Saccharomyces cerevisiae S288C: one gene and its partner. The protein of the gene in region 2 interacts with the protein of the main gene of each other region in a biochemical or structural test. Each region holds a gene or a part of one and is shown on either strand. Other genes may lie near its edges. The genes, in order: CKA2 and ELF1.

Evidence for each region.
Region 1: of the proteins of ELF1 (region 2) and CKA2, one has a biochemical effect on the other in vitro, tested with the Saccharomyces cerevisiae proteins (3 studies listed by BioGRID, with this or other methods).

The regions. Positions count from the first base shown.
Region 1 is NC_001147.6:439,504-443,328, reverse strand, and holds CKA2 (casein kinase 2 catalytic subunit CKA2), read right to left. Parts: upstream 1,796-3,825; coding exon 776-1,795; downstream 1-775. Other genes in the region: YOR062C (uncharacterized protein), read left to right, coding at 1-604; SLD7 (Sld7p), read left to right, coding at 2,166-2,939; LPL1 (putative hydrolase), read left to right, coding at 3,071-3,825. UniProt on the Saccharomyces cerevisiae protein: Catalytic subunit of a constitutively active serine/threonine-protein kinase complex that phosphorylates a large number of substrates containing acidic residues C-terminal to the phosphorylated serine or threonine.
Region 2 is NC_001143.9:151,097-154,349, forward strand, and holds ELF1 (Elf1p), read left to right. Parts: upstream 1-2,172; coding exon 2,173-2,610; downstream 2,611-3,253. Other genes in the region: RCN1 (Rcn1p), read right to left, coding at 2,720-3,253. UniProt on the Saccharomyces cerevisiae protein: Transcription elongation factor implicated in the maintenance of proper chromatin structure in actively transcribed regions.

The DNA of each region.
Region 1 (3,825 bases), on a different chromosome or scaffold from region 2:
GTTTGACTATAGCATATATATGGCTAGGTTGTATCATTGTATATGGAGGAGGTGGTCCATAAAGCACTTCAATTTAGATGAATACAAAATTGATCCACTAAGCATAAACTGGAATAAAGAAATAGACGTTACTGTTCTTTACGGACCTGATCTGGTTGGAATACATGAAAGAGAGCAACCTACTCCAACGGACTTTCCTATGGGGAATATAAAGGAACAAGGGAAGCAATTATTGGATGTAAGAAAGGAGGGAAGTGCTTCTTCATTGCTGAAAAAAGGCAGCGTATTTTACTCAAAAGGTAAATGGCTCTCTCAGCGTTCAATATCATTCGATGACACTGTTCGTAGGCGAGATATTGACAAACGTGGGAGATTTCGTGAATCATGTGTTCTAATAAATGATGTAGAACAATTCCAAAACTATTCCATTGTCTGGGACGAGAGTAGACATCGCTACCGTCGGCAGGCACTTCCAGACACGTACGATTACGAGCATCTCTATCCCAATGGCGACGAAACTCCTCGGAACACGCCTCACGACAATATAATAATTCATCAAAACTTGCATAGCATTACGGAAGGCTCTTATATCTATATAAAGTGATTTTCTGGTCATATAATAATCTACATTCGTTGTTAAATAGAGTTTGCAATTTAATATTCACATTAAGGATATTCTCTAATATCAAGCTACAAAAAAGGAAAACCCCTGCTTTTTATAAATGGAAATCAGTGGTGGAAAAAGAATTGCCTTGCTAAGAGTATTGTTGTCCAATTATTCAAACTTCGTTTTGAAAAACTTATGATCCATAGCCTCCTTTGCTGTTAATCTTTCTTGATGGTCATACCTTAATAAATTGTCGATTAAATCAACCACTTCAGGAACAGCTAATTTGGTCTCGGAGGTTATAAAGTGTGTCCACGATTTTTTTGTAAAGTCTCTCATAATGTTGTCGTATTCAGATGGTAAGTGCAACCCGTACTTACCCAAATAGCCTAACAGTTCCTTGGTTCCTAGTACTGTGGCAATCTTTACCAGTTGATCTGGATTAGACGACCCTTTGAAAAAAGGTTCTTTTTTGAAGACAATAGCTGCTAGCATGCATCCTACTGACCATAAGTCTAGGGAGTAGTCATATTGGTTCAAGTTTACTAAAAGTTCTGGTCCCTTGTGGTAACGCGAAGCGACACGAACGTTGTAATCTACACCTGGATGGTAGAACTCCGCCAGGCCCCAATCGATCAGCCTTAGTTTACGTTCCGTAGGATCAATCATGACATTCTGAGGCTTTACGTCTCTGTGCATTATGCCCATGGAGTGACAGTAGTCTAACGCAATCAATAATTGCGTGAAATAATACTGGATGTCAGGAAGTTTGAATGTAGGATATAAAGTTCTGAAATCAACATTTTTGATTTCCTCAAAGATCAAAGCAGGTATTTTGGAGTCAGCGTCTTGTACTATATCATAAAGGCCAACAACATTGGGGCCGCCTGTTAGATTGGTCAGAATTTTCAACTCTCTATAAATTTTTTTCATTTTAACTGGTTTTAAAACTTTAATAACACACTTCTGGTTGTTTACAATACATCTACCGCTGAACACTTCGGAATATTTCCCTCTTCCAATTTTGTTGATAATTTCGTAATTGGAAATCTTTCCCCAATCGATGGTCACCCCTTGTTCGTAGTCCCAGTATTCTTGTGGTCTCTCCTCGCAGGCATTCTTGTACACCCTAGCTACAGAGTAGACTCTATTAGATTTCTGGTTCAATGTTGACGGAGGTAATGGCATTCTGTTTCTTCTATTCTTTTAGGTTTATTGTTCCTTCTATTTCCCTGAGACCTTACAACTCTATGATGTTTTTTTAATTACTTTTTATTTTTTAGCAATCATACAAACTCCAACAAATGTGTGTGCCCGTTGTTTCCCAATTCAGGTTAAAAAGGTTGACGATGCTTTATTCTTCTTTTTATAACTTCCACCTAGATAAGATCGTTGGAAATTTTTCGATCGTCTGTTTGCTTTGCCAGGTTCGGGCGAAAAGCGGGCTACGCAAGGAAATTTTTTTCTTTGAGGCCTGATAAAGGCCTGTTGGCAGGTAACTAAGAAATGATAGACTGCCTTGAAAGGGGACAGCATTCACCAATTCGCCTGACTTTTGATGTCACGGAAATTATGCACACTAAATTTTACTCTTAGCGGAAAGCAGGGAAGTTTGGTCATTAGGGATATCCAACTTTGGAGCAATCGACCTACAGCAAGTAAATCAACTTCAGAGTTGAGGGGACAATTCATTCAGTATGTAGATCTCGCAAAACTGCCTTTGTGGGTCCGCTCCACAAATATGAATACATATAGATGTTATAGTACCAGTGCAACCGCACAGGCTTACTTCAAATCAAAACTAAGGAACGCGAATCGTGGCATTGTCATTGAATTGTTTGACAAGGTCGATCAGCGATCGCAGGAGCCAGCATACTTGATTATATTTCGAGAGAACACAGAGTTAAACTGCTTTCAAGTGGATCTAACAATGAAGCATGAGTTTGATGGCCAGGTCACCAAATTGAAGCAAGATATTGGAAAGACAAGGGCCTCCGTATCAAAGGAAGGTAGTATTGATATAATAATACAACAATCTCAACAAAGGAAGATCGGAACGAAAACGGAAGTGTATCGCAACGTGCATATTAATGACAAACGGCTTCAATTCAATGAAACTTTGTCCAAGCTAATTTTGGGTGGCCTCCGACTTCGAGGTATTTCTAATTCTATTACAGACTATCAAAAGTTATACAAGATAACGTTTGATGCAGCTGAATTTACGCACAGGGATGAATTAAAACGCATTTCGATGGGATCTGGTGAAGAGGTTTCGTTTGAATCATTGCAGGAAACTGTGGAAACTCTTCTGAAGCTCTTTACCAAATCATGATCAACGGGGATTTTCAGTATATAAGATCAAAATGAAAAACAAAGATAATAAAGAAAGGGTGGCAACTCTTTACTGCAATAATCGGTAGAAAACTTCGTGTGATCAACCATATATATTATACAGCGCTTCAGATGACTTCGGATAAACACCTTTTTGTGCTGATTCACGGGCTATGGGGTAACTATACTCATATGGAATCTATGAGGACAATTTTATCCACTACATTAAAAAAGGAAGATGTTAACGATGATATGATATATTTTTTACCAAAGCAGAATGCCATGTTTAAGACGTTTGATGGTATCGAAATCATTGGGTACAGGACATTGATTGAAGTTTGTGAATTTATCCGAGATTATAAAGACGGGAAAATCACCAAACTAAGCGTAATGGGATATTCGCAAGGCGGATTAGTGGCCCGATTTATGATCGGTAAGATGTTGACCGAATTTAAAGAACTGTTCGAGGATATTGAACCACAATTATTCATTACAATGGCAACGCCTCATTTGGGGGTAGAGTTTTACAATCCTACGGGCATAGCATATAAAAGTGCGTTATATAGTGCGCTGAGGACCTTGGGATCTACTATTTTAGGTAAAAGCGGGAGAGAAATGTTTATCGCAAATTCTAGTAACAATATATTGGTGAAATTGAGCCAGGGTGAGTACCTTGAAGCACTCTCGCTATTTAAATGGAGGATAGCGTTTGCGAATGTCAAAAATGACCGTACGGTAGCCTTCTATACGGCGTTTATTACGGATTGCGACCCATTTATAGATTTTGACAACAAATTGAAATATACATTCGAAGAAAAGATTCCGGGATCTGGCTATAAAGGAATATTGCCTAAGATTGTCGACCTAAACGCTTTAAACGTTAACAG
Region 2 (3,253 bases):
TGCTGCGTTTAATAACTACAACAGTTAACGGAAACAGTGAAATTTATTGGGGACTTTCAAGTAACGAATAATCATGCTGGTAGAAATATTTCTATTTTTATAATTAACAAATCTTTTAATGACGTCTTGTGGGCTGAAAACTACGGCGTTTATTTTTTAGATAGGTTATTCCTTCGTTGGATTGAGTAAGAAAATGTCGATACTGTGTTACGTTTGCAAGGAAAAGATTTAGTTGCGATTAGCCATTCATTCTTGTGGAAACTTCTTTAAAAAGGGATGGCGATGGAGTACTTATGTCCAATTATGAAGTCAAATTTATTTTCAAACCGTTACACGTAGATTATTTTCCTGCAGTGGTAAGTATCTTTGAAGTGTTGAAAGTTTTTTGGCACATATTTTTTTGCGGATGTGGGCCTGAGTTTCCTGTTAGAAACAAAGATATGCTTAAAACTAAATAACATTGGAAATTAGGGCATAGTCTTCAATGTTATACTTAAACATCACAGCAGGAGATTGAGATGATTGAAAGAATGGTGCAAGAAATGATTCATTAACATTCTTCCAAGTTTTGCAATATTTGCAAGTATTACTATCAGACTTTAGTTGAAGTGACTATGCTATTACCAAATTTCACTGGAGCCAGAAAAATAAAGATCACTTAGAGACAAAGAAAAGTAACATCTTCAACATAAGCCGGAGCTCAAAAGTAGGAAATCGGATAAGAAACTTGATTCTGTTATTTCAAGTGATTTTTTGCTGTATCGCCCACGTTCTTGTTGTAGATGTTTTGTAGATGTGGGACCGAAAGTAAGTGAACAGTGAAGTAAACAGAATAGGATTCTAAAAAAGAGCTTATAAACTGTTCTTTAAAATTTTTTCTTTCGTGAATGTCCTCGAGCTATCTCAAAGAAAACGAAATCTTCATTCAACTTAAGTGTAGGTATTATTTGCTGTTTCATCAAATGCGGCACCAAAGTGGAAGTATTCTAGTCAGTTAGTTTTTCATTGTGAGGAATTGATATGTCGTTCTCTGATAGAACCACGCTAAGTTGGTGTTCAATTTTTTGCAATTCGGTAGTAATTATGCCTTGCAACATGTTTTATTCTTTTATAGTGTGATACCGTCAATATGATGATTTGCGGTGGAGCATGCATGTGCTTACTAGAAGTGCTGCTCTGGTGGGCATTTTAGGGACAAGAATAAATTCTTCTCTCCACTATCTGAACTTCCGTTATTCTTCTGCACGTAATTGCCGTTTTTAGGATTTTTTGGAGTTGTCACGGTATAGATATGTCTTATTGCGTGATTTCACGGTGTCTTGCACACAACATTTCCAGGTCACAATATTTGGTTCGAGGTTCCCAGCAAGAATTCATTATCCTTTTCAATGTGTCGCATTAAATCATTATCCAAAAACAAAAGAACTTAAGAAGTACAAAAGACACTTGAAGTATGCTAGCGTAAGAAATACGGTAACCAATATTTATATGTAACATGCTTATTCTGTCATGATTTCACAGTTCAAACTACATTCCTATTCAAAATCATCGCGTTAGTGAGACAAAATCGGTGGGAGAGATGTTAGACAAAAAGATGACAACATTGGAAATAAACCACGACGAAAAATACCTTTGAAAGGATCTTTTTTCGATTTTCCTGTGAATTTGTAGGCTTTTGATGGTACGAGGGTAAACCAAACTGGACGGGAAATCACCATTATTAGTCCTATGTAGAGCCTCGTCACCATACCTATATAAACATAACTATTCTTTTAAGTACTTAAACGGCTTTTTTCTGAAACAAATAGCCAATGTTTTCATAACGAAGATTCCAAAGTTACTTAACGCTCTTCAGGCACTTCCTTATTTATTATGACACGTACAAAATAATAAATTCGTAGTTATAAGATTATCTTATCATATTTAAAATATCTCTTCTTTCAGTTGAAATTGGGCCCAAAATTTTTACCCCATAGCGTTAAAATTAAACAAAAACTGCTATTTCGGTGACAAATTGTAAAAATTCTGAAAACGGAAGAAACAAAAACGTTTAAAATGATTAAACTTTGGTAAAGCAATAATCTACAAATAATTGGAAAAGGAATAGTAATAAAGATGGGGAGAATTATGAAGAAGAATGTCATAAAAAACACTGAAAACAATTAACGAGCCATGGGTAAAAGAAAGAAGTCAACAAGAAAGCCTACCAAGAGACTGGTCCAAAAATTAGATACGAAATTCAATTGTTTATTTTGTAATCATGAAAAATCAGTTTCATGCACTCTGGACAAAAAAAATAGTATAGGAACTTTATCGTGCAAGATTTGTGGGCAGTCGTTCCAAACGCGCATAAATTCATTATCACAGCCTGTTGATGTATATAGTGATTGGTTTGACGCCGTCGAAGAAGTCAATTCTGGCCGTGGAAGTGACACAGATGATGGTGACGAAGGTTCTGATAGTGATTACGAAAGTGATTCAGAGCAAGATGCTAAAACGCAAAATGATGGCGAAATAGATTCTGATGAAGAGGAGGTAGACTCGGACGAGGAGAGGATAGGCCAAGTTAAAAGAGGCAGAGGCGCCTTGGTAGATAGTGACGATGAATAATCCGGTCCTGAGAAAAAACCATATTTACTTAGGTCATATATATTTTATATTTTAAAGCAACCACCCGTAAGCATTTAAGTCTCTTAAGCCAACAAATCGCCTCGCCATCTTAATCATCGTCATCAGTATCGAATATAGATTTTGGTGGGAAAGCGGTTTTAACGTGGTCCGCTAATTGCATCTGTCCATTTCCATCGTTCGTGGGACATCTATCAATGGTAATTGCGCCCACCTTTGATTTCAATAACGTGAAAGTACCATTGTTATTTTTGTCTGGATTATTAGGCAATAGTTGGCTAGCTTCCAACCGCTGCTGCTGGTCCTGTTGTATATGACTTTGTATATGCCTTTGTGGCGCATCCTCACATTTGCTGAAATCGAATTCGGGAGGTGGTGATGCTGGGGGCGATATCAGGAACATTTTTTCACTCTCTGGTACCTTCAAGTATTGTTTAGTTAAATTCCTTTGTCCGTCTTGCAAGGAGTAGCTGAAGTTAAAATTTTCCATTTCTAAAGCACGAGACGCATCCATAACATGCTGAGATATATCATGACTGGGGCAGATCAACAGTATTCTTTTAAACCTTTTCAAAATAATCAACTGTAGTGGTTCATTTTCATTGATTTGAAACTTCCTTAAGAT